Oryctolagus cuniculus: one gene and its partner. The protein of the gene in region 1 interacts with the protein of each later gene in a pairwise test. Links are inferred from orthologs where the notes say so. Each region holds a gene or a part of one and is shown in the gene's direction. Other genes may lie near its edges.

Region 1 (15,629 bases):
AGCTGCCCCCAGGCTCACTCCTGAGGAAGGCGCCCTGGTGGGCAGGGATCCGGACGTGGGGATCTCACCCTAGTCCAGGGAACTGCGCCTGGGCGCCCCGCCCACCGCCTGGTCTCCCTGGCAACTGCTCTCCAGCCCGGGGAGCCCCCCCACCCCCAGCGCGGCGTTACCCCGGCAACCTCCAGGCCCGCCTCCTCCGAGGTTCTGACTGGCTCGCGGCAAATGTGGGCCGGGGCCTACAGGGAGGGCGTTGAGGTGGGACTGGTGGGCGCGAAGGCGGTGGCCTTCCGGGGGCAGGGGGCGTTCCGGAGACCTGGAAGGCGGAGGGGGGGAGGGCGAGCGGTACCTGCGCCACTTCTGGGCGGGTCTGGCGCTGCGGGGAGGCCCCCGCCGCGGGGGTTCGCGGCCCGGGAGGCCTGCGCGCTGCTGAGAGGTGCGGCTGCCGGGTGGCGAGACGGCCGTAAGGCGCGGCGGCCCCTGCTGTCCCGCACGCCCGCCCGCAGCCGCGTCGTCCGCCGGAACCGGGCTCGGCAGTGGCCGGCCCTTTTCTCCCCTCCCCACGCGGGGTCCCCCGTCCTGGCTGAGCGCCCTGTGTTGGGAGTCGGTGGACGCATTCCTTGGCGTCGCGGGCCTTCTTTGGATGCGCGGGGTGGGTGGGGGGCGAGGCGCCCCCAGGGCCTCCCTTCCCGCACCGGCTCTTCTAGCCTGTGGCCCCCGGGGCTGCGGGGAGGCATTTCTGGGCCGGGGTTTGTGGGGGGCGGGAGGACCGCCCCCGGGCCTCTGCCCACAAAACCCTGCGGGCCCTGGAGCAGAAGCCCTTCCCTGTGTAATTACCGCCCTCTCCCACACCACGTACTGAACCCGGTCATTATCTTGCCTGGGTCCCTCGGCGGCCCCAAGGCCCTCCAGGAGAGGTTGGGAGTTGGTAGGAGGTGGCCAAAGAGTTTGTGTTTTGGGAGAGGGGTGGCAGTGGAGGCAGGACACCACGGAAGGGGCTGCACCCCCGCGCCCCCCACCCCCAGGCGAGCTCCGCACCCGCTGGCTGCACGCCCTCTCTTTTCTTCCCTCGACCTCCAAGCCTCTCCGCTCTTTCCTGCCTCTATTGCTCCGGTTTTTGGGCCCGATGCCGGGGCTGCCTCAGCTGGCCACACCGGCCCTGGAGCTGCTGGTTAGGAAAGCAGGGGTCTGAGAGCTTGTCCAGGAACACCAGGATGCTGGCGGAGGGGCTGACCTAGGCTGCCAGGAAGTGGTATTGTTAAGATTTGTGTATTTTATTTGAAAGGCAGAGTTACAGAGAGGGTGAGAGACAGAGATCTTCCATCAGCTGGTTCCCTTTCCAGATGACCACAATGGCTGGGGCTGGAGAGACCTTCCGGGTCTCTTACATGGGTGGCAGGGGCCTGAGGACTCGGGCTGTCTGCTGCTTTTCTAAGCGCGTTAGCGGGGAGCTGGATCAGAAGCGGAGCAGCCGGTGGCTCTAACTGGCACTCATGAGGGGGTGCTGAAGCTTAACCCACTGCGCTATGACCCCAAGGCAGGCAGGTCTGGAGGGACCAGTGTCCAGAGAAGAGTCAGCGGTGGGCACAGGGCAGTGAAGGTGAGGTGTGTGCAGCAATGGTGAGAGCATGACCAGAGAGGCAGGCTGGGTGCCGGGAAGGAGACACAGAAGTCAAGAGACCGGAGGGCAAGACAAGCTGCCCATGGGAAGGGATGTAGCCGGTCTGGGAGGTGGCTGGTGAGCACCTCCTCCCTGGAGCCTCTCAGCGCAGGTCCTTGGATGCTCCCCCATGCTGTGCAAGCCCTCCCCCCACCCAAACCACCTAAGAATCTTGGAGACTGGGGTTTCTGGTGCAGAGGTTAAGACGCTGCTTGGGATACCAGAGTACCTGGGTTCTAGTCCCAGTTCTCCCAATTCCGGCTTCCTGCTAATGCGCACTTGGGGGGCAGCAGCTGATGACTCCCGTATTTGGGTTCCTGCCACCCATCTGCACAGAAGACCTGCCAGCTTCAGCCTGGCCCAGCCCTGACCGTTGCAGGCATCTGGGGGTGTGAACCTCAACTCCATATAGCCCCAGTGCCTGGGCTGTTTAGGGTTCCTACTCATGGACGGATAAAAGCTTGCTCTTTCAGTCCCAAAGGAACGGAAAGCTGAGATGATCACCCGGCCCGCCAGCATTGCTTTTTCTCCTTTCTCCCATGTCCACCTCTGCTTCGTCCTGGGAGAAACCTTGGCTGTGAATTTCTGCGGCTCTCCAGTGGGTGCCACCATGCTCCTGAGCCAGGTCCTGGAGGGGAGACACACAGAAGCTAAGACCCTCCCTAGGAAGCCATGGGCCTGGCTGAGGGTCCTGGGCTGCCCGCCTGCCCACCCACCAGGCAGGCTGGGTCAACCCCATTGGTAATGGTGACCCTTGCTGGGAAAAGACTGAGACAGGAGTCAGGGAAAACCAGAAAGAATGAGGTTGGGATGGAGGAGGGCCCTGAAGAGAGAGCCAGGTCGGGGTCGGGTAGGACGTCACAAACAGGAGCTGGGCCTTGGGACTGGAATGGGGGTCTGGGCCAAGGCCAAGGTGCGTGGGAGGGGGAGAAGCTGGGGCTGGCTGGTCCAGGCTGAAGCTGGCAGATGGGAACTCAATCCAGGTTTCCCATGCAGATGGCAGGGACCCGCATACATGAGGGTTGCACATTAGCAGGAAGCAGAACTGAAACCCAAGGTACTCTGACATGGGATGCAGGTATCCCAAGTGGTGTCTTAACCCCTGTGCCAAATGCCAGGTTCAGAACTTACGCTGTCTTTTATTTATTGGAGAGGAAGGTGAGAGAGAGAGAGAAATCTCCCATCTGCTCATTCATCCCCCAAATGCCCACAATGGCTGGAGCTGGGCTGGGGCTGGAGCTGAGAGCTGGTCTCCCTTGTAGGGGGCAGGGACTCAGGTACTTGAGCCAGCACTGCTGCCCCTCAGCGTGTGCATTAGCAGGAAGCTGCAACTGGAAGCAGCGCTGGGCCTTGAACCTGGACGCTCCGATACATCATGGATATCCCGAATGGCGCCTTCACTGCTGTGCCAAACACGGACCCCTGGGCTTAGCATTCTTAAGGTAACAAAGCCAACCCCCGCCCCCAACTGCCCTGGGAGGTGGGGGAGGAGCTGTTTTTCTCCTACTCAGCCAGGAGGAAGTTGAGGCTCAGGGAGGGGTGGGGGCTTAGCCAAGGTCACCCCCTCGGGAGTGGCAGAACCAGGTGTCCCAGCAGCCTGTGGTCTGTGCTGGTGGCAGGTGTGAGGGACCCAGCCCTGCAGGCCGATGCAGCCAGTGTGGCTTCATCTCTGTGCAGACGCAAGGGCATGTTGGATGCATTCTCCTGTGAACCCCGGGGGCCTGGTCTTGCCCACCATGAAGGAGCTGGTGTGGTCAGAGCTGCCCACACCAGTGACGGGGGAGTTCCCTCTCTCACCTCTAAGCAGTATATCAGTGGTGATGTCGCTGTGCTGCGCTCCGACTGGGGCTCCCTGGGGTCTAGAACCCACTGTCTGGGGAGCCTGTGCTGGGCTGCTGTGTGAGCCCCCGCAGCACAGCCCCTGTCTTTTTTTAAAGATTTATTTATTTTTTATTTATTTGAAAATAAACAGAGAGAGGTAAAGAGAGAGGTCTTCCATTTGCTGGTTCACTCCCCAAATGGCCACAATGACTGAGGCTGGGCTAGGCTGAAGCCAGGAGCCAGGAGCTTCTTCCTGGTCTCCCACGTAGGTGCAGGGGGCCTAGGACTTGGGCCATCTTCCACTGCTTTCCCAGCATGGTGGAGCAACCGGGACTCGAACTGGCACCCATATGGGATGCCAGCGCTGCAGGCTGGGGCTTTAACCTGCTACGCCACAGCACTGGCCCCCAGCCCCTGTCTTGCTCTCCTGGTCTTCAGATCTCCTACTTGGGGCCAGGGACCCACCTACTTGCCTTCTAGGGTCTGTGTTGGCAGGACGCTGGAGTCAGGAGCTGGGGCTGAGAATCAAACCTGGGTCCTTTGATTTGGGACATGTGTCTCAAGTGCTAGGCCCAGCACCCGCTGCGCCTCTTCTTTTGTGGTAAAATACAGATAGCTTAAAGTCTTCTGACATTCTCACCATTCCGTAGTGGACGGTGCAGTGGCAGTATGTTGTGCAACCACCACCTCCTTCTGTCTCCAGAATGTTTGTACCTTCCCTCTGTGAAACCGTGCACAGCAATTTCCCCTGCGCAGCCCCCGGCGCTCACCACGCTCCCCTCTGCCTCCATGAATTCCACTCAGAAGAGGCTATTCTTGGGCACAGAGGGTCAGGCCGCTGCTGGCCACAACGGCATCCCACGTGGGAGTGCTGCTTCGAGCCCCGGCTGCTCTGCTTCTGATCCAGCTCCCTGCTAATGCACCTGGGAAAGCAGTGGAGGATGGCCCAAGTGCTTGGGCCCCTGCACCCATGTGGGAGACCCGGACGAAGCTCCTGGCTCCTGGCTTCAGCCTGTGTCAGACCAGGCTGTTGGGGCCATTTGGGGAGTGAACCAGAAGATGAGAAGTCTCCATCTCTGTCTCTCCCCTTCTCCCCTCTCTCTTGCTCTCCCTGTTAAATCAATCAATCTTTTTTTTCTCCTACAGAATGGGCCATTCTTGGGGCTGGCGCTGTGGTACAGCGGGTTAATGCCTTGGCCTGTAGTGCCGGCATCCCATATGGGCGCTGGTTCTATCCTGGCTGCTCCACTTCCGATCCAGCTCTCTGTTATGGCCTGGGAAAACAGTAGAAGATGGCCCAAGTCCTTGGGCCCCTGCACCCGCGTGGGAGACCTGGAAGAAGCTGCTGTCTCCTGACTTCAGATCGGCGCAGCCCTGGCTGTTGCGGCCAATTGGGGAGTGAACCAGAGGATGGAAGATTCTCTCTCTCTCTCTGACTCTCCTCTCTGTGTAACTCTGACTTTCAAATAAATAAAATCTTTTTTTTTTTTTTTTTTTAAAGAATGGGCCATTCTTGCCCTTCCTTGTTCCTCCCTTCCAGCTCCACATGATTGGGTCTTCTGGGGCTCCCCCGGCCCCACCACTCTGCACTTGCTGCAGTTTGCTCACAGCCCCTCCCGTGGTACCCCTCCAGGAGTCCCTTTCTGCTGACCACCCGTGCTCTCTCCCTGCCCACGCGCATGTCTCCACTTCAGCCTCAGCAGGTGCTCCTGACCCTGGTCCAGAGAGAGCCACTGGTTCTGTGGCCTTCTACTTCCCACCATACGATGTGACACTTCCAGTCACTGTCCCCTCTCTTCCCGTCTTGAGGTTCTCTTTTCTCTTGGCCTCCTAGAGAGAGAGAAGTAAGCAGAGGCTTTGGAACCCCGTGAGCTCTGGGTTAAAATCCTCAGCCTGCTTTTCACTAGCTTGAACTCTGGGTGTGACTCCATGTCTCTAAGTCTGCTCCCTTATCTCTGAAAGCAGGAAAGCACCGACCTCACAAGGCTGTCTGAGGACAACGCTGACCTCATCAGCCCAGGTGTCCAGCCCAGTACCTGCAATAGTGCAGCAAGGGCCTTTCACTGTCAGCTCCTTTCCTGGTTGCTAATCCCTGCCCCCACATTCCTGAGATGGAAAAGCTCTCTGAGGCTGCGAGCCCTCACAAATCCATGGATTCAATACTAGTGTCTGCAAGTGGTGGCTTAACCTGCTGTGCCACAATGCATGGATTTTCAGATAACTTTTTTTTTTGTTTCTTTCTAAAGATTTATTTATGGGGTTGGCTCTGTGGCATAGTACGTTAAACCTCTGCCTGTGGTGCCAGCATCCCATACAGGTGCCGGTTCAAGTTTCAGCTGCTCTACTTCCGATCCAGCTCCCTGCTGACACACCTGGTAAAGCAGTGCAAGATGGCCCAAGTCCTTGGGCCCCTGCACCACCTGGGAGACCCAGATGAAGCTCCTGGCTCCTAGCTTCGGATTGGCCCAGCTCCGGCTGTGGCGGCCACTTAGGGAGTGAACCAGCGGATGGAAGACTTTTCTGTCTCTCCCTCTCTCTGTCTGTAACTCTCTCAAGTAAATAAACCAATCTTAAAAAAAAAAAAAAAAAAAAAAAAAAAAAAAGCTGCTTTCCCAGAAGCATTAGCAGGGAGCTGGATGACAAGTGGAGCAGCCAGGACTCAAACTAGCAGGCAAATGGGATGCTGGAGTTGCAGTAGGCAGCTTTTCCAGCTACACTACAGCCCTGGCACCACCCCCCCCCCCCCAGCAAGTCTTTCACAGCTGGGTTGCTCAGGCATCCAATTGAATCCAGGACCAAGTGCTGAACTTGGTGGCTGGGCATCTCAGCTCTCTCCCCTCCCATCTTCACCACATCCTTCCCTTGGCCTTTGAGGCAACTCCACGTGCTTTGGAAAAATGCTTCTTTCTTTCCCTGTCTGGAACTGAGATCCTGCAAGGTCACTGGGCGGGGGGGGGGGGGGGGGGGGGGGGGGGCTAAGCCGCCCACCCGGTGCCCTCCTCCCTGTGTGCCCAACTGTCACCTGACGCATCTGCCTTTCTTCACGCCCAGGACAGAGCTTGGTTTGTTGCTTGCAGAGAGCAGGCAGGGCTCTGGTCTTCCTCCCCTGGATGCACAAGCCTGGCATCCAGCCGAGGCACGGGGAGGAAGCTGATCACTACTCCTTTCTTCAGGCCCCTCGCTCCTCCTCCTCCGCAGCCTTCCTGCCGCGGTGAGGGGAAGCAAAGTCCAGGCCAGGATCCTGGAGACTGCTTCTGCACCCGGCCAGGCCCGCCCTCCCCTCCTGTCCCTTTGACAGCTTCTGTGTGCACCCACACGCCCAAGACACGGGAAGTGGTTTTGAGGCAGGTCCAGAAGCACCTAAGGGGTGGAGACCGCCGGCGGCCCTGGAGCGTGCCCCCAGCCTGGATACCCCAGCCCCTGCCCTGCTGTCGTCCCCAGTAACAGGAGCCATGAGCCAGCGGGGCACAGACCTTGGCACTCCTCCTCCGCGGGAGGGACCCGAGGGACCCGCCCTGACGCGGCCTGGAGGGGTGGGGTGGCCGTGGAAGGGGGCCTCCTGCCTTCTCCCCGCCCTGGAGAATGGAGGAGCCCTCACTTAGAATTTGCGAGACTCCCTGGACGTGTTTATTCTGGCCCACCCAGTCCCAAGCAGCCCACGGCTCTCGCTGCAGACTCAGGGCTGGGGCTGGGGCTGGGGGTAGGGGCTCGATCCCAGAGGTGGCGGAGGAAGCGACTCGGCGGCGACTTCGAGGGCAGCTCCCGGCCACCCACCGCCCCCGCTTTCGGCCCTCGCCCGCCTCCTCTGCCGCGCCCAGAGCCAGAGGGAACCAGGCGGCGCTCGGTCCCGCCGTCCTACCACGAGCTGGCACGGAGGTGGGGGCGCCATGAGGGCCCCAAGGCGCCTGCAGGGCCCGGCCGTCCGAGCCTTCCCTGGGCGGGCGTGGGCGCTGTCCTGCAGGCCGGGGGGCCACGTGGCTCCCGCTGGGCGGGGGGCTCGGCCCTCCCCGGGCCGGCCCCGGTGACTCAGGCCGCAGCTGTTCCCGCGTCACATGAGGGAGGCCGGCGGCCGCCCGGCGGGGGAGGGGGCTGTGGCCGGAGCCCGGGGCGGGGCCGCGCGGCGGGCGGGGCAGCAGCCGGGGGGCGCCGCTAGAGAGCCCCTGAGCCGCGGCAGGAGCGGAGCGCACAGCCTCGGGGAGCCCAGGTGAGGCCGCGGGGGCCGCGGCGGGCTCGGGCGCGGGGTCGGGGAGGCCGCTCGGGCGCCCCTTTCCTGGGGCTCGCCCGGGGCCGCCGAAGACCCGCCCCGCGCTCTCAGCTGGCGCTCCGGGCCCTGGAGCAACTTTGCTCGGAAGTTCCCGAGCAGGGGCGGGGTGGGCGGGGGTGCCTGCCGCACTTGTTTAATTTTCGGGGGGCAGCCCAGAGCGCTGGCGAGGAGCCTACGGGGTGGGTTCGGGATTGGGCCGGAGGGCCGTTTTTCGGGACTGGTGGGACGCCCGGGGCTGGTGGGCCGGGGGTCGGCAGCAGTCCCGAGCCCCCGGGAGCTGCCCCAAGCTCGCGCCGCGGCGGGCGGGGACCCCCACCCCTCTGCCGCCCGGGGAGCGAGGGGGCTGGGAGACGTGGAACCGACCGCGGGCTTTCCGGGTGGGAGGGGCCGGGAATGGGGGCCGGGCAGGGAAGGCCTCGAGGGCCGGCGGGGAGCTCGGAAAGCGAGGTTCCCCCTAATCCCCCCTCTCCGCCTCCCCTGGACCCCAGGCCCGGCAGCCATGGCGGTGGAAGGAGGAATGAAATGTGTCAAGTTCTTGCTCTACGTGCTCCTGCTGGCCTTTTGCGTGAGTGCGGAGCTCGGGCGCGAGCCTGGCGGGGCGCGGTCGGTGGGTGGGGGGTGCCCTGGCTCCCGACCGCCGAGAGCCAAGGCAGCTGCAGGCCAGATGTGCGGGGAGAGCCCGGGGAACGGGGCCGAGGGCGGCGCCGCCACCCCGTCTTCTGGCTTTCGGGGACCCCGGAGGCCCATTTGACCGAAAAGTGGTCCTCTTGGACGGGCAGCGCCCCACCCCCACCCCTCCTGGCCCTTCCTGTCTGGTGACCCAACCACTTGTGATTGGGGCAGTGGGGCAACCAGCCAACGGCCTGATGCTATCGCCACGAGGCTCCTCTGCCCCGTCCTCCCGCGGCCCCCTCTTCCTCCACCCCACATCCTTCCCCTCTTTCCCGCCCGGCTTCTGTGGGGGCGAGGAAGGGCACTGCTCACCCCAAGTGGCTCCCGCCCGGGCCGAGAAGCCGCAGTTTGTCCAGGGAGGAGCACCCTTGCCCCTTCTCCTTCCTGGCCTAGCCGGCCGGCGGAGCTGTCACCGCCAAGGCGTGGGCTGGCACCGGGGCTGGGCGCCCTGGAGGCTCGTCCTGCTCTGGGCAGGAATGTGTGCCCCGGGGTCACAGCTCACCGGTAGCTTCTCCTTTCTCCCCAGTCCCTCCATCCCCTCCCCCGCAGTCCCCTTTCCCGGAGGAGTGCGGCTAGGCCTCTCCTCCAGGGGTCAGCTCTGTGTTTCCGGCCAGCCTAACCCTCCCGTGCCCTCTCGCTCAGGCCTGTGCAGTGGGATTGATTGCCGTGGGTGTGGGGGCGCAGCTCGTCTTGAGTCAGACCATAACCCACGGAGCGACTCCTGGCTCCCTGCTGCCTGTGGTCATCATTGCCGTGGGGGCCTTCCTCTTCCTGGTGGCCTTTGTGGGCTGCTGTGGAACCTGCAAGGAGAACTATTGTCTTATGATCACGGTGAGTGGTGGTGCCAGGGACGTGTCCCCGTGGCCAGGTCTCGGGTCGTAGACTGGAAGGCTGACTCCTGTGCTGTGCCCCTGCAGTTTGCCATCTTCCTGTCTCTGATCATGCTGGTGGAGGTGGCCGCTGCCATTGCTGGTTACGTGTTTAGAGACAAGGTGAGTGGGGAGTGAGGGGCCGGTCCTCCCCTGGGCTGCTCAGAACCCAGGTGCCTGGATTCGGACCTCAACAGCGCTTCTCCTTACTCTCAGGTGATGTCGGAGTTTAATAAGGATTTCCGGCAGCAGATGCAGAATTACTCGACAGACAACCAGACCGCTTTAATCCTGGACAGGATGCAGAAAGATGTGAGCGGGGCTGCCGGGGGCAGAGGCGTCGCCATGCCAAGGGGGGAGGCTCACATCACCACCCTCTCCCCCGTCTCCCTCTCCTCCCCCAGTTCACGTGTTGTGGGGCTGCTAACTACACGGACTGGGCGACCATCCCTGGCATGACCAGGGATCGCGTCCCTGACTCCTGCTGTGTCAACGTCACCTCGGGCTGTGGGGTCAAGTTCAACGTGAAGGACATCTATGTCGAGGTAGGGAGGGGGCTGGATAACCTGGCGGAGGCTTCAGGAGGCACGGAAACGTTCTGGGACGGAGGTGGCCGGGGTTAGGGATGGGAGGTGGACAGGGTCAGGGACGAGAGGTGGCGGGCCAGGTGCCTGGTGCCGGCTGGTGGGAAGCTCTGGTAGTGCTCTCACCTGTGTGCCTGCCTCCCCTCAGGGCTGCGTGGAGAAGATCGGGCTGTGGCTGAGGAAAAACGTGTTGGTGGTGGCGGCAGCAGCCCTGGGCATTGCTTTTGTGGAGGTGAGAGATGACCCGGGCAGGGGCCCGTGGTCCCACGGGTGGATCTGGGGTGGCTTGCCCTCCTCACTCCCCTCTGCCTCTGTCCTTCTAGGTCCTGGGCATTGTCTTTGCCTGCTGCCTTGTGAAGAGCATTCGAAGTGGCTACGAGGTGATGTAGGGCTCTGGTCTCTTCAGCCCCCTCCGTCTAGGGGAGTGCAGTCGTATCCACCAGGTTTTTCAATTAAACGGATTATTTTTTCAGACCGAAAAGAGACATGGTGTCTGTTTGTCTCAAAGCAATACCTGACCTCTTCCTCCTTATCCTTGTTCCCTTGCTCTGTGTGCACCGCCGGGGAAGGCAGGTGGTGAGCGTCTGGGAAAGGGGGTTGTGCTTGAACGTGTTGAGTGGGCTGGCAGGGGGATGTGGGGTCTGGAGGAGGCGCCGGCCCAGTGCCCTCTCTGCCCCCAGCCCTGCGCTCTTTGCTGGAACATCCATGAAACCACCTCCTGGGTAAGTCCCAGGATTCCCACACAGGCCTCACCTGGGAGAGCCCAGCCTGGGTCAGCTGTGGCCACGCTCTCCCTGGCGTTCTGTGCACCTGGGGGCCCAGCAGCCCCCTCTCGCGCAGTTCTCAAGGGGACCTGCTTCCTTTCAGGGTGCTGATAAGTAGGGTGGCCACTTTCCCTCATTCTGGACTGAGGAGAATGAGTATCCCCCCCCCTCCCCTTGGAAACCACTCAAGTTGGCCCTGATGCTTCATCACGGAAGAGAGCTAAAGATCCATTCCCAGTACAAACACAGAATTGTAACCTTACTCCATGCAGAAAATAGGTGACACATGCAAAGTGCCCTCTGGTGGCCACTCCTCCGGGTGCGGTTGCAAAGTTCACCCGAAGATGCAGGAGTTCCCGGCGCCCCCCAGTGGGCGTTTTGCAGGCACTAAAGACTTGGCAGTTTGGGGACGCCTTCATTTCTGCTCACTCACTTTCTGCTTTTTAGACAGTACACATTTATTGAGTGCCTGCTTTGCGCCAGGCACCAGATGGTACCAGAACGAGGGCAGAAACAAGTCAGAGTCCTTGCTCTTGGAAAACAGTCTCTCTGGGAGGCTGATTCATTCAGTAGACGGTCTGGGCAGGCTGTGGAAGGACCCAGGTGAGCACGGCATCCACCAGGCTGGCCGGCAGGTAGGAGGCCGGCAGCCAGAGCAGCTTGGCGTCCCAGCCTGGGCTGTAGCGGGTTCGAGGGTGACGAGCAGTCAGGGCGTGCTCCAGGCACTTGCTCACCTTGGTGAGGTCCGGGTCACAGATCAGGTTCATGATGCGTCGCTGCACTGTCAGATCTGCGGCCCCGTGGTGGGTGTCATCAGCCTCAGGACACTGCCCCCCTCCTGGGCCCTATCTTCTGGGTCCTGGGCTTGTTCCTAGCAAGGTCAGAGGGTTCCTCGCCTCCTCACCCCCCAGCCCCGTTTGGGGGGTGGGACTGGGCTGCTGTGCATGGCATCCCATCTTGTTTGCCCCCACTCCTCCCACAGGCTGGGGTGGGACTGACCTTCCTGGTGGTCCTTTCCCGTCCTGCCGTCCCATGCCCCCGTCTGGCCCCGCTACTCACACTTGGTGAGGAAGGTCTCCCCGTACTGGGCCTGTGTGGCTGGGGGCAGCCGTGCCCAGCAGGCCTGCAGGCCGCTGTCCAGGCTCTCCAGGTTGGTCACAGGGGTTCGGAAGAAGCCAGGCTCCACGATGGAGACTTGGACCCCAAAAGGAGCCACGTCCCGCCTGGAGTAGGGGCAGAGGGAGGGCTCAGGGCGCTTGCCCTGTGGTGCACAGGTTGGGCAGCTAAGATGAGGGCCTTAACACAGATGAGGGGCAGGAGCCCTGACGGGGGAGGTCCGGGCTGCCTGGCAGCCGGAGGCTTTATATTTTCTTCTACGATCTGTAGCAGAGGTCAGCACACTTTTCCTTAAAGGGCCACCCAGTTTAGGCACCATGGGCCAAGAAACACAATTAGCCTGACCATTATGAGCCTGCAGGCAGTTGGCTGCAGCTGGCCTGAGAACAACCCCGTGAGTTCCGAGTGCTGACATGCAGGGTGCAGACTGGTAGTTCTGGGGGTGGGGGCGGTGGGGACACATGCCAGTGCCCTGGTGTAGACGCAGAAGTCCACATGTAAAGCCTGTGTTCCGGGCTGACTGGGAAATGAAAGGCTGAGGGACCGAGACAGAGGGGAACGCTGAAAATACTGAGTGACGGGGAAGAGGGCGGGCTTCCTGAGCGCCTTGTGCTCGGCTCAACATTGAGGCCCCGCTGCCCTGTCGTCCTGCCCCACCTCCTTTGTGCACCCATGGCCCCCTGAACAGGATTACTGACTGATGAGGGGTGGGAGGCCCCAGCGCGTCTGCTAGCTGGTGTGTATTCCTTCTACATTTTGGCCATGTGCTACTTAGTGATGGTAGTCTGTTTCCCTATTTATAGCAATAGCAGGCTTTTCTGAGCACTTAGTACCTACCAGGCACTGCTGGGCCCCTTATTTTTACCTCTCACCACACCTGGGAGGTAGAGCTTCTCATCCCAGTTTAACAGAGAAGAAAAAATGGGTAAAGAGAAGGAATCTTTGTAAGACCCTGAGGCTTGAGGGGCCAGTGCCATGTCACAGTAGGTTAATCCTCCATCTGCGGCGCCGGCATCCTGTATGGGCACCGGTTCAAGTCCCGATTGCTCCTCTTCCAGTCCAGCTGTCTGCTATGGCCTGGGAAAGCAGTGGAAGATGGCCCAAGTGCTTGGGCCCCTGCACCCACATGGGAGACGGTGGAAGGAAGACCTTCCTCTCTGTCTCTTGCTCTGTCTGTAACTCTACCTCTCAAATAAATAAATAAATAAATAAGAAAGACCCTAAGCTTGCATGAAAGGACTTGAATCCATGGTGTCTGGACCTGAGCCCTCTCCTCCTGGATACTCCACTGTGCTGTGTCTTATTTTTTGCTGGCCCACCCTGGGCAGGCACTAATTTGTTTGTTGGGAGGGCCGTCCTTGGGTTGGGAGCCCACAGCCCTGCGCCCCTCACCTCAGGCTGTCAGAGAAGGCCTCCAGGCCAAACTTGGAGACACAGTAGCCCCCACCGTTGGCTGCCAGGCGGCCCAGGACGCTGCTGACGTTCACTACCCGGCCCCGGGCCTGCTGCAGCAGGGGCAGCAGGGCAAGAGTGACCCCGATGGGACCCAACGTGTTCACACTCAGCACGCGGTGGAAGTCGTCTCGTGTCAGCCACGGTGTGGGCCCGATGATCCCGGCCACGCCAGCGTTATTCACCAGCCCAAAGAGCCCTGTGGGGGAGACGGGACGGGCGCAGAGGGCAGGTGAGGCCCTCCCACAGCAACCGCCCCTGGGTGCCAGGGTCCTCACCTGCTTCCTTAACGTGTGACTCCACCCACGTGGCTGCCCGCTGCACACTCTGGGGGTCAGTGACGTCCAGCAGCGTGGTGTGGAGGCGGGAGGAGGCCACCTGCTGTAGGTTCTCTGCCCCAGAGGGAGTGAGGCAGCCGGCCAGGACCCGGAAGCCCTTCTGGTCCAGTCGCAGTGCCAGAAGGCGCCCGAATCCTGAGTCACAGCCGGTGATGAAGATGAAGGCATCGCTGCTGGGCAGGCTCTGCCGGTCCCTGAGCAGCCACAGCCCTGCCCAGAGCAAGGCACCCAGCAGCAGGAGCAGCCACATGGCAGGATCCAAAACGGCCTGTAGGTGGCAGTGTAGGCTGGGCAGAAGCCTTGGCCCCCAAGCCCTTGCCCCTAATATCCTCCCTGGCTGGGACTGTCCAGTCTGAGCAGATTTGAGAAATTAGCTACCTGGTGAATAACTGGCAAACTACAACTCATCTCTGCAACACAGACGTGGGCAGGCCCTGCACTGTGGCTAACCTGATTCAAGCCGGATGAGCCGGGGCCTGTGTTGGGGAGCAGAGGGACCTCCTTGTTTGTTCTCACCTCCGCAGCGACCCCCAACCCTCTAAGTGTAACCCCGGCCTTGTGCCTGGAATCACAGGGTCAGGAGCCCCTCGCCCAAGTCCCGGTGGCCTCCAACTTGTATGGCGGTGTCTGAACCTCATTTGCCAAGCGGGGCTGACACCCTGAGCCATGAGGGTCTGGGATGCCACGTGAGGAAGATGAGATATGCCTGGCGCTTTGAGTTACTGGCACACGGGACCTCCAGCCCCTCCCCTCACGGCACCCCAGCTCCCAGGGTCCCCCTTACCTCCTCTGGGGAAAGCTCGCAGGTCCTACAAAGCCCGAAGCTTCTTGTTTTGCTTTTAAGAGACTTTGCTCCTGGCTTCCCAGGCTCCCACGCTAGCTCCAGCTAAGGCCCAAGTCCGAGTGGGTGGCCTCGGGTGCCAGGAGTATTAAGCACATGTACGAGGGGGGTGGAGGGAGGGCCGAGGAGGAGGAGCCCTGAGCCTGGAGCCCCGAGGCCAGGTCTGCCAAAGCCCAGCTGCCTGCGGCCAGGGCTTAGCAGAGGCCAGATCTGCCCAGGCCCCTCTGGGGCTGTCAGCCTGGGTAAGTGGCCACCTGTGTCGTGGTCTCCCAGGAGGGAGCTGTCAGGGACAGCAGCTGCCCCTCTCGGCTGGTGGCCTTGGACCTGTCATTCCTCCCCCTTCTTGGCCCTGCTGTGCCTCCAAGAATTAATCTCGCACCCGGCCCAGACTCATGACACTGCTTAGTGCTGGCCTGGGAGAGGCCCTGAGCACGTGGAGAGGCCCCGAGCCAGAGCAGGGGCCCAGGCACGCTGTGTGTCTTACTTCTCTTCTGCAGGAAACTCAAGTCCCGAATTAGGACGCCCTAAGGACCCCTAGAACCTTCTCTGGGGAAGTGTGGGACACTCGCACCCTAAGCTTACCCAACAGGAACCTGCACCAGGCCTGAGGAGGAGGAGGAGCGGGTCGGGACAGTAAGAGGAAGCTGGTTCCACCCGTATCTAAATGGCACCATCCTGTGGGAGTCACCCTTGATCTTTCCATCCCACTTCCCACACTGGAGCACCTCGAAACACACCACACACGAACGGAGGCTGGGGTTTTATTCACGGCCTGGTGCGGGTGACACAGGCAGGGCGGGGTGGAGGGCGGGGGTGGAGTGGCTAGGAGGGGGCCGACTGCAGCTGTCCCTTGTACACGTATTCCAGCGCGGTGGCAATGGTGCGCATGTCCAGCTCAATGCTCCGAGCCCAGTTCTCCACATCCCCGATTTCCTGGGAAGGGGAAGCAGGTGGGTGGGCAGGCGCGGCTCCCAGGCTGGGGGTGCTTTTCACCCACCCCCTGGACCCACCAGTGACTTTCCTTTCTCTGGCTGTTCACACACTGGGGCCACAGGTGGGGCTTCTGGGACCAGCTCCACTTCCTCCCTAACCCCTGAGGGAGGCAGACTGTGGGGGCCCAGAATGGGGAGGTGATAAAGGGAGCGAGGCCCACCTTGAGAGCCTGGTTGAAGTTCTCCACCATCCCAATCCACTGGCCTGTCTGCTTGGCAAACTGGGCAGCCTGGGCCTGCAGGGTCTTCACCTCGCGGT
Region 2 (13,666 bases), on another chromosome or scaffold:
GACAGAGGGATGGCATTCCCGGAGGGGCTGCTGGGGCGGTGGCGGCTCCCAGTTCCCGACAGGCACAGGAAGCCCACACATTCAGGGTGACCGATGGACCTTCAGGTCTCGCCTCCCTCTGTTCCTCCCCCGCCGCCTTCCTCATTTCCTAAATGACTGGCGTCATTCGCGGGAGCTGAGAGGCCCAGTGTCCGGACAGGGAGACTGACAGAGATCCTCCAGGCAGTGTGCCAGGGACATGATGCCAAGGCATGCGTGTGACGTCCCAGTTGGGCACCACACCACACAGAGTGAACAGCACACTCACAACTGTGCATGAACCCAGACCCACTTCACAGACTTCGATACACACCTCCCAGAAGCAGCACACAAAACATGTGAAGTGGTACAGGGTGCTCAGCCACATCCCCAAAGCATAGCACCCATGGGTCCAGGCAGCGCCCAGAGACAGCAAGATGCCAGAGAGCTGCGCACACATGCCCATCCCCTACCATCTGAGGTCTCTAGGGCTCTCTTTTCAGAAAGTGTCCTGGGTTCTTCTGAACCTGAGCCTGAACACAACACTGTATGTGCTGTGTGTGTCTGCACACGGGTGCCTGTTGGGAGCTCTGGACCCTGGGATGGCCTATAGGACTCTAGATCAGCATCTCAGCTTCTCTTCTTTGCAAAGCCCTGTGCATTCCAGGCCGATTACTGATTGCCTCTCTGGGCCTCAGTTTCCCGATCTGTACAAAGGGCACAGTCAGGCCCCAGCACGTGGTATGTTGGGAGGATCCTCAGGTGTCTGCTCTGCACACTTCGGCTGGACCTCATACCCATCGGGTGTCCCACACGGTCACACACCCGACACTCCTCCGTGAAGCCCCTCTCCCCACCGCCCCCTGCCCCTGATTCCAAACCTGCACAAGAACCTGGATCCACACAACCCTTCCCTGGCAAGACTGCTGACTCAGGGGGCCAGCGCTGTGGTGTAGCGGGTAAAGCCGCTGCCTGCAATGCCAGCATCCCATATGGGCGCTGGTTCGAGTCCTGCTCCACTTCCGATCCAGCTCTCTGCTGTGGCCTGGGAAAGCAGGCACAGATCCAGCCATTGTGGCCATCTAGGCAGTGAACCAGCGGATGGAAGACCTTTCTCTCTCTCTCTCTGCCTGTCCCTCTCTCACTGTGTAAATCTGACTTTCAAATAAATAAATCTTATTAAAAATAATGCTGGCTCAGGTTTCAAAGCACTGGCGTCAGAGCTGGGGTCAGCATGGGGCACAGGGGCCAAGAGAGGACTTTCCCTGCCTTCACTTCCCTCCCTGTCCTGCGGGCGAGTTACTCAGCCCCCTGTTTCATTCACTCTCACTCCCCCACTTTCACAACCCGGCTTCCACATACTTTTGGTTTACTTCCCTTCTTCCCTTTTTTGGTCCCTCCAAGGGAACCCTTTGAACTTGCATTCCTGGGCAAGTCACATGACCCTTGTGTGGCTCAGTTTCTTCACGTGCATGATGAGAAAATGAGCTTGTGTCTAACTCATAGGGATGCTGCAAGGAGAGGGATGGATTAGTTACTTGGTGGGAAGTGCTTAGCAAGCAGTCAGCCTGCACCCTCAAAGACTGCTAGGTACTGTCATTGTCCATATTGTGGCCTTTGATCACGCACACTGATGAGCCAGGAGCTCATCAGGGACAGGGCACGAGCAGAGTGACTTTACACCCATGTTTGATGTGCAGGAAGCACCACTCCTTTTGTAATTTTACCGTGCTCTTGTTATTGAGCGAACCTCTCTGAGTTAATCAAGTTTAAGTAGCAAGGGAGTAATGGAGAGGGAATGAGATAATTTACACAAAAAACCAATGCACTCAGTACACAGTAGTGCTCAATAAGAGGCTGCCGTTATCCCTATCGTCAGGATTTTTATTGCTCTGTCCTCCCTGAATTAACCAAGGAGGTTAATCAGCCCTCGGAACCCTCTTCAGGACCCCACGGAAGATGCCAGCATCATCAGGAAACTGGTGGGCAGTGATTGCCTCATCTCCCCCCGCCCCCCCCCCCCCCCCCCCCGCTAACAGGAGCGTGGGCCGGCTGGTGGGGAAGGGGTAGGGCAGGATGGGGTGGGGATGGGTTTGGATGGGTTTTCTACTGACTCACTAGCTTCTTTCACCACCATCCAACCCCCCTGCCAATGCTCACTAATCCACCGGTACCATTCCCTGCCTGCCAACACGGGGCCCCACCTGGCACCAATTAGCCAAGGTTCAAACCCTGGCCATGCCTTGTGATCCTGGGAAAGTTTTCCACTCCTTCTTGGCCTCCTATTTTCTCATCTGTAAAATGGGACAAGTCCTGGTGTCCACCTCAGAGGCTAATTGTGAGCTTTAAATGAAATCAATTGTGCTGAGTTCCTGGTACACAGTTGGTGCTGTATAAATGCTGGCCATTTGCCTGTGATTCTTTGAGAAGGGTTCAGACCCAGGTTGTGGCTCCAGGCTACCTGGGTTCAAGCCTCAGTTGGGCCATTTATCAACTGCAATCTTGTGTTAAATCATGTAATGTCTCCTATGCCTCAGCCTGTCTTCACCTTGACTTTTTCCCCATTCATCGGCCTAATCCGTCCACACTGTTTCTGCTTCCCCCCCTCTACCAGGCTGGGATTTTCATGTGCTGGTACACAGCAGATGCACAATGAAGATCGAAGGCATGGACTAAATTCAGGCTTCAGCCTTGGGGATTTTGGCGGATGTGGGCGGTTGCAGAGCCGTGGGAGACTTTCGAGGACTCAATGGGGGGGGGGGGGATCCTGCCGCCGCCGAGCTCTCTTGGAAGGAATGTGCCCGACGTGGAGCTGGGGGAGGGGAGGGGAAGGAGGGTGTCTCTCCTTTGGGCAGCCCTCGGCCCGCCCCTAGACTTCTGCGCTGACGGTGGGCGGATGAGTAATGCATCCAGGAAGCCTGGAGGCCTGTGGTTTCTGCGCCAACCCCGCCCCTCGCGTGGACATTTATCCTCTACTGCTCAGGCCGTGCTGCCGCCATCACCGCCGCTGCTCCAGTGCCCGGACAGACGCTAGAGGTAAGCGGGTGAGGCTGGGGTGGAGGCCTGGGCTGCCGGCAGGGCTGGGGCTGGTCTGGAGTTTGTGCGCTGGCGAGCAGGCCTGTCCGGTCCGTGCCAGATTCCTCTGCTGCTGCTCAGCCTGGCCTGCGGGTACCAGGACCCTGGACTGGTCAAGGGCAAGCGGGGAGGGGGCTGGAAGTGCTGCCGGCCCTGACACAGCAACCCCCCTCGAATCCCTGGCATCCATCCCCATTGCCCCCAAACCCATGACCCCCTAATACCAAAACGCCTCCCAACCTTCCAATGCCTCCAAGCCCCTCATTAACCCCCTCAATCTGCAGCCCAGCCCCCCCTTCACAGCTCCCTAAACTCCCCTAGCCCAGTCTCTGAACTCCTTAATCCTCAACCCCCTAAACCTCAACACTTCGTCTGTCCTCAAATCCCTAAAGTAGCCCCATCGCCTTAGACACCCAATCCCCCCAACACCTTGAGCTCCCAAACTCACACAACTCCCTAAACCCCCAACTTCTTCCAAATTTCTCAACCTCCCGAAATCCCCACCCTCTTCATCACTTAATATGTACAGTTCTGAAACTCCCAGACTTCTCTGGCCCCCACCCCAACTCCCTTTCCCTCCAGATTTTCTGAGACCCCTCCTTATTCACAAAATGCAAGACCCTACAATCCCCCACCTGACTCAGTGCCCTAAGCCACTCCAACTCCACAAACCCCTCAACTCTCCCAACTCTCTAAACCCCTGAACACCTCTGCAATCCCACCCCTTCTCCTACAAATCCCAAGATTCCCAACTCCTCAAGCCCCCACACAGCCCCCTCATCCCCTTGCAGACCAGCCTGGGGCAGCATGGGCGGGAAGGCTGCCTGACACCCGTACTCTCATGCAGAATCCACCATGGCCCCCTTGGCAGCCCTGGCCTCCAGCATGCTGCTGCTGCTGTGGCTGGTAGCCCCCAGCAGAGCCTGCACCTGTGTCCCACCTCACCCGCAGACGGCCTTCTGCAACTCCGACCTTGGTGAGTCAGGACCCACTGTGCCCGCAATCCCTTGCTTTGCTTTCCCTCTCGATGGCACCTGCCTCTAGAGCAGTTCCACCTGCCTCTGCCCTGACTCCACACCCTCAGGGATACCCTAGGCTCAAGCCCTCCTCAGGGCCTTTGTGCGGGCTGCACCCTCTGCTTGGTAACCTTGTCTCCGTGTACACATGGGCAGCTGTGTCAAGTGTCACCCTGGCCTTCCCTGACCATCGTGCTTAAAACTTTAACTCCTGCCCCTCTAGTACTCTACACACCCTGTTAAAGACAGACTTATTCAAGGATGCTTGTTGAAGCTCCGTAAGGCATGCTTTATTCAGGACCATCCCTACAGGTGCAGGAAGAGGACCCATGCCAATGGGATTTTGCAGGGAGGAAGAGAGCCTGGGCTCAACTCCAAATACCACATGGGCAAGTGGGAATCTGTAGCCAGGAACAGGGCAGGGGTCAGTGGAAAGAGAAAACATGTGGGGTAAGGGGAGTGGGGACTGTGGCTAAAGGATATTTGCAGAAGGTGGGCCAGGGTGATGAGACATCACCTGGGGGTGGGGGCTGGGGAATGAAGAACCCCATCAGATAATGAGGCTGAGCAGATGAGGGTGGGGGATTCTTGCGATAAACGGACCTAGCAGGGTTCTTTGCTAAAACTGGGTTTTTGCAAGCAAGTGCACAGATGGGCCTAGGAGAAGGTTTAGGAGCTTGACTGAAGCTTGACCAAGCAAAGAATCATGGTGACTCCCTCACCAAGCTTTGTAATTCCGCACTATATCGAGTAGCATCCAACATTTCCCAGTGCTCATCTTTGTCTTTAGTCAGTCTCCTCCTGGCTAGAATGTGAACTCCACAAGGAAAGGGAAGTCTGTGTTTTGTTTCCTGTTGGGTCCTTAACACCCACAACAGTGCTTGGCACACAGTAGATGCTCTGAAATATTTGTTGAGTCAATGGGCAAATGAACAAATGAAAAAGGTTCAAGCAGTGCCTGGGAAAGAGGAGTCACTCGATATATAGATGAATCAATTCACAAATGTGTCAATCGCTTAGTGTGCCGTCTGGAATACAGTAATCCCTATTTATGTATGCGCTTGCCTGGGATTAGTAGGATGATGACTTTATTTTTATTGGCTTTTGCAGTCCCTCTGACTCATCTTTCCCCTCCTCTCCTGCAGTCATCAGGGCCAAGTTTGTGGGGGCTCCAGAAGTCAATCATACTACCTTGTACCAGCGTTATGAAATCAAGACAACCAAGGTACTCCCCTGCCCCTTCTCCAGCATCCCTAACACTTTCTTCCTGGTCAAAATAGAGGCCTCTGGGAGCAGACATTTAGCCTAGCAGTTAAGACGTCTGTAAGTTAAGACATCAGAGTGCCTGGGTTCAATTCCCAGCTCCAATTCCTGACTCCAGCTTCCTGCCAATGCGGATCCTGGCAGGAAGCAGTGATGACTCAAGTACTTGGGCCCCTGCCACCCCTGTGCGAGACCTGGATGGAGTTTCCGGTTCCTGGCCCTGGCCCGTGCCCAGCCCCAGCTGCTGCAAGACATTGGAGGAGTTAATCAATGGATGGGAGGTCTCCCTCTCTCTCTCTCTCTCCCTCCCCTCCTCCCTCCCTCCCTCTCTCTCCGTGTCCCTCTCAAGTAAGTAAGTTAAAAAAAATAGAAGGCTCTGGCCACAGGTTAGGAAGGAGGTCAGTGGTGATCTCAGGATGCTATACTTGTATGACTTCAGGGAAGAAGGTGGAGTGGGAGGATGATGTCGGTAAACAACTCTTCCCCTCATCTGTCAACAGATGTTCAAAGGATTTGACGCCTTGGGGCATGCCACGGATATCCGGTTTGTCTACACCCCCGCCATGGAAAGTGTCTGCGGGTACTCCCACAAATCCCAGAACCGCAGCGAGGAGTTTCTCATCGCTGGTGAGGCCCCCTCCCCTCACCCTGGGCCACGCCTGCCCGTCCCTCAGACACCGGGGCGAGGCTCAGAAGGGACTCCTCCCGGTTGAAATGAGACCTGCCGATCCCAGCCTATCAGAAGGCAGGGACTTTGCCCAATGGGGGATCTGTAGGCTAAGAACTCCAATCAGGCACTCTCCCCACCCATCCCCCTCTCCCGCCCAGACAATCAATCAAAAAAAAAAAAAAAAAAACCATCCTGCCTGTTGATTTCTCCTTCACCTAGGACAACTGCGGAACGGGCTCTTGCACATCACGACTTGCAGTTTCGTGGTTCCCTGGAACAGTCTGAGCTTCTCTCAACGTTCCGGCTTCACCAAGACCTACGCTGCCGGCTGTGACATGTGCACAGTGAGTGCCTGGGTTCTGCCCTCCACTCCTGGGGCTCTTTCCTCAAGCTCTGGGCTTGCTTCTTAATCCCTCTGGCTGCTGCTTGTTCCAGGGCATGCTCCCCACACACAAGGGCTGTCCCGGATCTCTCTGGCTAGTCCCCGAGCCCTATGATTGCTCCCTTAGCAATTCTGGTGCTGTGTCTGACACTGGGACTGCGTGTCCCTCAGACCTGTCCCTCTAACTCCCCCTTGTGCCTATCCTGTAGTCCCACTGTTTCTGACCCCCTTGGCCTAGTTTTTTCTTTTGCTTTTCTTTATTTTTCAGTTTTTCCTTCCCTAGAATGTTCTCCAGGAGACTAAAGTGCTGGTGCCCAAACCCACTGACTCTTGCTCAGCAAGTCTGATTGAGTCAGTGTAGCTCTGACTGTTGCAGACGTCAGCGAGCATTACATGAACTTCTGGCAGCCCCCAGATTGTTCCCTGATGGCCCTGATGCCATCTGACCCCAGGGACTGCCTCAGAGGCCCACTAGCTACTGCTACACTCTACTTCCCCACACTCCATTACCCCACAACCCCACGACTTCCAGATGTCCCGTAGCACAATCCCCCAGGAGACCTGCCAGACTGACCTCCAGCGACCATTCCCCAACCACCATTCCAGGATGCGGGTCCTTTCTCTGGTTTACTATTTCCCAGCGAGAGAGGGGCTGTTCTTGGGTCTGAACCCAGGTGGGGCGACACCAAGTCCCCCTAACCGCTTCGTGTTGCAAGTTGAGGAGGGAAAGCGTCTTGGTAGGGGAGGTAGGTGGAGGAGGGCAGCCCTCCCAGCTGTGTCCTCCCACCTCTCCTGTAGGTGTTTGCCTGTGCATCCATCCCCTGCCATCTGGAGAGTGACACTCATTGCTTGTGGACAGACCAGCTCCTCCTAGGCTCTGACAAGGGCTTCCAGAGCCGCCATCTCGCCTGCCTGCCACAGGAGCCTGGGCTGTGCGCCTGGCAGTCCCTGCGGCCCCGGAAAGACTGAAGGCTGCTCCTGTTGGAAGCCGAAGCCTACACCATGTTTGCCTCCCTCCTACCCCCATCTTTCTTTGTCCCACACAATGAAATAAAGAACTACCACCCTGCAGACACTGTTCCCGTGTTGCTGATGACCTGGTGGGAGCACTCTGGGATCTGTGCCAAGGGCAGTGATGGATACTAGGTGCTGGTTTTTTTTTTTTTTTAATCTTTCACCTAAAATGTGATGTGGTGCTTTTAACTCTCAGGCTTGGTATTAGCACTGGGGATCTGCCCAACTATGAGCGTTCCTGTCCTCACCCTTGAGTTTTGTACTGGAAATCTGACTCGAGCCAAAGGGGAAACCTTCAGAGGATCCCTAAATCCCCAAAGTCACCCAGCCAGGGATTCGAGCCCTGGCTCTGGCCTGTGGATGACTCCTTAGGAGGGCTTGTGTGGGGACACAGGACAGGTGAGATGGAGAGAAGGTGTGATCTCAAAACCCCCAAGCTCTCCGCTTGTCCCCTCTCCCCTCTCCCTGCTCCCCTCACTCCTCTGACCAGTCTTAAAGGGAACGTGGACAGCACTGAAATTCCGCTAGGGTTCATCATGAGGCCTAAGCAGCAGGTTCCCCTTACCCAGCTGGTGCCGCACCCAAACTGAGATCTCTGCACCAAACCCTCAGCTTTCTGGCTTGTCTTCCTTCACAAGACCTGAGAGAGATCCTCCCAGCACTCCTGGGCCTCCCTATGCTTAAAGTTGGGCCTGGGGCCCTCTGGCCCCTTTCCAGCCCCTGACACCTGCTTGGGATACTCCAAAGTCCAGACACAGGTGGGGATCAGAGTTTCAGATGAATGCAGACATTCAGTGGAACACTCAAGTGTGCTGTTGACCCAAATCTGCTTATAAAAGGTCCCAATCTTTGGTGAAGAAAAGGACCACAATTCTTCCCCATCAGACTACTACCAGTATGAATCCAGGTGTCCTCTGGAGCATTCTAGGTCACCCAGCATGGGCTCTAGAGCCTCTATGGTCCTGTCTCAAAGCCCTTTGCACGCCTGAGAGATTCTCCCAGGGCCCAAGATATGTCCCAGATCCAGATGGGAGATGAGCATGCAGCAGTGACTGCTTGAACAGGCCAGGCCCACTGTGGCAGCAGGTTCTATGTTGCCACTGGCACCTTGCTCATATCTAGGATGGTCTGGACCCTGTCCACCAAAAAGAGCAAATGGCGGTCTTTGCTGATTTGTGCAAGTGTAGGGGAAGGGCCAGGCCCTGCTTTGGCTCTGGTGACTCTGTCACTAGGCCCTCAGCTGCTTGTGAGCCTCTGGAAGCTCCTGACAGTTCCCCCAACCCCAGTACCCACTCCCTGCACTCTTAAGCTCTTTCCTGCCTTCAGGGCCCATTTGCTGAGCCCTCAGCTCATCTGAGCCCTGGGAGGAAGCTGAACTGGGAGGTGGCAGGGAATTCAGCATGCAGACCATTCCCTGGCCAGCATGTGCACCCTTCGGGAGGTCCCTGAACCAACAGCAGCCAGTGCAGCACGGATGGGGCCGACCAGTTTGTCAGGGTACATAGAATCCACCACGGCGTGCACAAGGCTACTTCCCCTAGGGCCTTGGCATGAGCTCCTGGCAGGTTCTCTAGCCCTGGGATCACTGTGTCTGCTTATCATTCTTCTAGAAAATCCATTAGAGGGAGTAAACTGAGCATCCCCTAACCCCAGCGTTCAGTGGATCTGTGTGTGAACCTCTGGGAGAGAGTCAGTGACAGCTGAGAGCAAGCATGTGGGGGTCACAGCTGCATGAGGTGTGCAGCTCAGTGAGTAGCCTGGGGACTGGCCCTTCTCTCAGTTGAGCTTCAGTCTTTCTTCCTAAAAAGTGGGCATCTGGGGGTCAGCGCTGTGGCTCAGTGGGTTAACACCCTGGCCTGAAGTGCCAGCATCCCATATGGGCGCTGGTTCTAGTCCTGGCTGCTCCACTTCCGATCAAGGTCTCTGCTATGGCCTGGGAAAGCAGTGGAAGATGGCCCAAGTCCTTGGGCCCCTGCACCCACATGGGAGACCCGGAGGAAGCTCCTGGCTCCTGGCTTCGGATCGGCACAGCTCCAGCCATTGCGGCCAATTAGGGAATGGGCCATTGGATGGAAGACCGCTCTCTCTTTCTCTCTCTGCCTCTTCTTCTCTCTCTGTGTAACTCTGACTTTCAAATAAATAAATAAATCTTTTTTAAAAAGTGGGCATCACAGCCCCCCTGCAGAATCCTTCAGAAGGTTGCTGAGGTTGGAGGATTTCTAGGCTGGCTGGCCCATGGGCATTTCTCAGGTGAGAACACGTGAGACTCTCATAACAATAACTTCCTGAGCAATCTGGAGCCAGGACTCAATCCAGGTATGCCACCCAGGTGGCAGAAACCCAACCACTTGAGCCATCACCACTGCTTCCCAGGGTCTGCATTAGCAGGAAGCTGGAATCATGAGCCAGTACTGAGACTCAAACTCAGGCAGTCAGATATGGGATGCAGGCAACTCAACTGGTGTTTTCATGACCAGGCCAAGCAACGGCCCCATAAGTGAGTGTGCTTTTTATTCCCGTGCAGGAACCGAGCTGTAGAAAGGTACTATGACTTCCCCAGGATACACAGCTAGGACATGGCAGGGCCAGGATTTGAATGCAGATGGCCTGGCTCCAGAGCTCATGCTCTTAGCCGGCACACCACACTGCCTGTCTAGGAATTCAGTACCTGTTAGAAATATTGCTCAGTGAACCAGTAGATGGGAGCTCTCTGTGTCTCTCAAATAAATGAATAAATAATATATATTTTTAAAATATGCCTAATGCATAAGGACAATGTACACATTAAATAAGGTTGTACATGGAAACTTCCAAGTAGTAGTTATGGCAAAATAATTGTAATTTATAACTTTAGTAGTGATACTCTTACCACTCATAGTTATCTACAATATTTCAAATAATATTTGATATTAAGCATAAAACAATATTATAAATATTGTATCTTATGAGCAATAATTTGATGCAGCCTGGAAACCTCATTTTTCTACAAAATGTATTTTAATTGAAAAAATCATCTATTTTCACATTATTTGAGAGACACAGAAAGAGAAAGAGAGAGAAAGAGAGATCTTCCATCCACTCGTTCATTCCCCAAATGGCCGCAAGAGCTGGGGCTGGGCCAGGCCAAAGTCAGGAGCCAGGAACTCCATTCTGGTCTCCTGCAAGGACCAGGAACCCAGGTTCTTGGGCCATCTTACATTGCCTTCAGAGGGTATGCATTAGCAGGAAGCTGGATTGGAAAAAGAGGAGCCAAGACTGGAACCAGGCATTCCAATATGGAGCGTGGGCTTCCTAGGCAGCCCTTAGAAACGTTAGTTTAAGATGAACATGATCATCTCTGCCAGGGCTGAGCTGCTCTACAGGGCTGTTACAAATACTTAATAAGCTCACTTGTGATATTTTTCTTGGTAGTGTGAAGTGTGTACACTGCTTTAGAGTATGTCAATCTCTCCACTGACAAAGGCTTCTGAGGGAACCCCCGCCCCATGATAATATTCCCCACCATGAAGTCCTCACTGGGGACTAATCCTTGTCTTTGGAAATCTGTACTGTTGCCACGACTACACATGCCACATCCCAAGCCCTTGGCAAGTCCTTCCTTTGATAGGTCCTCTCTCCCCACTGTGACAAATCCTCTTTTTCAGAACTGCCTCGCTAAGAAACATCTTATTCATAAATATTCCAGCACTATCTCCCCATGCATCACTCCCAGCGACAAATTTCTCCATTCACAAACACACAGCAGCAATCTATTGCCTGCTGATGGAGCCCAGCAACAAAATCTCTCTTCATAACTCCCCATCCATTGATATACCCCCAGTTGACAAATCTCTCTAATCATAAAGTTTTCCATGATAGAATTCTTGTTGAAAACCTCCCATTCGTACATCAAGATGGCACATGGGGGGCTGGCGCTGTGGCATAGCAGGTAAAGCCACTGCCTGCAGTGCTGGCATCCCATATGGGTGCTGGTTCGAGTCCTGGCTGCTCCACTTCCGATCCAGCTCTCTTCTATGACCTGAGAAAGCAGTGGAAGATGGCCCAAGTCCTCGGGCCCCTGCACCCACGTGGGAGACCTGGAGGAAGATCCTGGCTCCTGGCTTCGGATAGGTGCAGCTCTGGCTGTTGCAGCCAATTGGGGAGTGAACCAGCAGATGGAAGACCTCTCTCTCTCTCTCTCTCTGCCTCTCCTTTTCTCTCTGTAACTCTGACTTTCAAATAAATAAATAACCCTTTTTAAAAAATAAATCTTAAAAAAAGATGGTATATGGGCACGCACCCACTGTCCATTAGGAATGACACTGACGAGCCCCCTTGTCAAATCTTGCCAATCAGAAATACGTACCCTTGATATCCGTATACCTCACTTAAAGCCTGTTCAGAAATCTTTCCATTCATAGAAACCATATATCCATGCATTCTCTACTGATTGAACTCCACTGACACATTTCTGCATCCTTAGATATTTACAGTTGGAAAATCCCCCTGCTAGCTAGAACAGCTCCCTAGCGATTACCCCATATGATGAATCATCCTTCTCTTCCAGCTAATGACAGGTGGAAAGGTTGATTTGCATAACAGTAGCCCTTTGTTTTTATTAATAGTGACTGACATGTCTCACCATCCAGCTCTGGACACCTCCTATGCCAGTAATGGTGAAATCTGAGGATCATCCACAGTTACTCTGTAGAGCCCTCTGAGAAAGGAATGGATTAGGGTACAAAGTTCTCTCTGGCCGTCAGTTGGGGGGGGCAGTGAAACGAGCATTTTGAGAAGACTGGTTGAAAGTCTAAGAAGCTGGTAGAGGTCCAGATAAATCCCCCAACTCCCACAGTCCTGCTCCAGAGAAGGCCAGAGGTATGAGCTCTTGAAAGAGCATAATGGAAGAGCCTCATTCATATGGGCAGGGATATCCACACTGTACCCAACTCTGCTCTGGCTGGAAGCACTGAGACCCAAAAGCTACTGAAGTCATACCAAGACCCCAGCCCATCGCCTCACCAATGCTCCTCAGCCCGTGTCCCTCTTCCTTTCGCCCCTCCAAGACTCTCCTCGAGGTTCCTAGTAGGGTCCCGGATATCTGGTTCATTAGCAGTACCTGAGAGTAAGGAGCAACGCCCTTAGGTGTCCATACACTCACCAAGTGCAAGTGTGCTGACATGCACCCGGGGAGGCTCCCCTTTGGCAATTCCTCACAGCAGGCATCCAAGCTGTCCCCACCCTGTGTGAGCTGCTCAGCCTCAGGCCTCCGTGTGCAGCATCCCTGGCACAGTGTCTGCAGCCCCGGGGCCTCCTCTCATCCGAGTCCCGCCACACCTCCTCCCCTCCCCCAGCACAGGACACTGTGCTCCTGATTTCAGCCCACCACAGCATATTCTGTCCTCAACCAGCCACTTAGAGATTACAGCATGTCCCAGCCAAAAGATAGCTGTTTGCATTTTAATGGCCCTGAAGGCATGGCCTTCGACTCCCTTGCAGGCTCTTTGAAGGATGGGGCGCTCCACTTCACGAGATGCAGGGGTATATTCTTGGAAGGAGCACAGATAGGGCTTCCTGAATTGGAACAGGAAAGGACAGCACCGGGCCCGAGCGGTCCCCAGACTCCAACTCACCCCTGCCCCCTCTGCTCCCTGCTCCCCTTTGCTGTGCCCTATCTCCTCTTCCTAGTCCCTGCTCTCTTTCCTTGTTCCCTACTTCCTGTCCCTACCCCTTCCCCAAGCTCTGTCCTCCCACTCCCTGCTCTTACTCAGGCTCCCTGCCCCACCCCCGCCAACTCCACGCTGTTGCCTCTCTCATTTTGCTCCGTGCTCAGTGTCCCTGGGCCCTGGCCCCACTGCCTGAAGGAGTGACACGCCTCATCCACCCCATGCCTGCCTCCCACAGAGCCACTCACCTCAATGCCAATCTTGCACAGGGTCTACAAAACGACCCATGCTTCTCGGAGCATTGGCAAGAACATGAAGGCATGAACCTGGCTGCCTTCCCAGGTGGCCTGATGGCTGCTATTGAATCTTCATGTGCGACAGCCTCCTGTGTTGGATCCAGACTTCAGCTCGGCCCCAGGCAACTGGTCACTCCCCACCTTCCTCAGACTTGCACACCTCCCTTTGCCCATCCACCTGGCTCGCTGCCACCTCAAGCCTCCTGAAAACCGTCAACTTTTAAATATGTGGGAGTCCTGATCAGTCTCTTGTTCTCAATCTGTTGCAGGTGACAGGAGTGTGTGCC

Evidence for each region.
Region 2: the proteins of CD63 (region 1) and TIMP1 interact in binary tests that used the Homo sapiens proteins (3 or more experiments, as listed by UniProt). The link is inferred for Oryctolagus cuniculus from reciprocal best matches to the Homo sapiens genes CD63 and TIMP1.

The regions. Positions count from the first base shown.
Region 1 is NC_091442.1:58,548,430-58,564,058, reverse strand, and holds CD63 (CD63 antigen), read left to right. Parts: upstream 1-8,241; coding exon 8,242-8,307; intron 8,308-9,056; coding exon 9,057-9,245; intron 9,246-9,331; coding exon 9,332-9,406; intron 9,407-9,499; coding exon 9,500-9,595; intron 9,596-9,687; coding exon 9,688-9,828; intron 9,829-10,015; coding exon 10,016-10,099; intron 10,100-10,190; coding exon 10,191-10,256; 3' UTR 10,257-10,344; downstream 10,345-15,629. Other genes in the region: translation initiation factor IF-2, read right to left, coding at 6,520-7,817, 7,919-8,243; RDH5 (retinol dehydrogenase 5), read right to left, coding at 11,198-11,421, 11,691-11,854, 13,140-13,398, 13,478-13,787; BLOC1S1 (biogenesis of lysosome-related organelles complex 1 subunit 1), read right to left, coding at 15,201-15,311, 15,532-15,629. UniProt on the Homo sapiens protein: Functions as a cell surface receptor for TIMP1 and plays a role in the activation of cellular signaling cascades. Plays a role in the activation of ITGB1 and integrin signaling, leading to the activation of AKT, FAK/PTK2 and MAP kinases.
Region 2 is NC_091453.1:33,077,878-33,091,543, forward strand, and holds TIMP1 (metalloproteinase inhibitor 1 precursor), read left to right. Parts: upstream 1-3,054; intron 3,055-3,940; coding exon of another isoform or gene 3,941-3,948; coding exon 3,949-4,069; intron 4,070-5,254; coding exon 5,255-5,334; intron 5,335-5,872; coding exon 5,873-5,999; intron 6,000-6,261; coding exon 6,262-6,386; intron 6,387-7,222; coding exon 7,223-7,393; 3' UTR 7,394-7,494; downstream 7,495-13,666. UniProt on the Homo sapiens protein: Metalloproteinase inhibitor that functions by forming one to one complexes with target metalloproteinases, such as collagenases, and irreversibly inactivates them by binding to their catalytic zinc cofactor.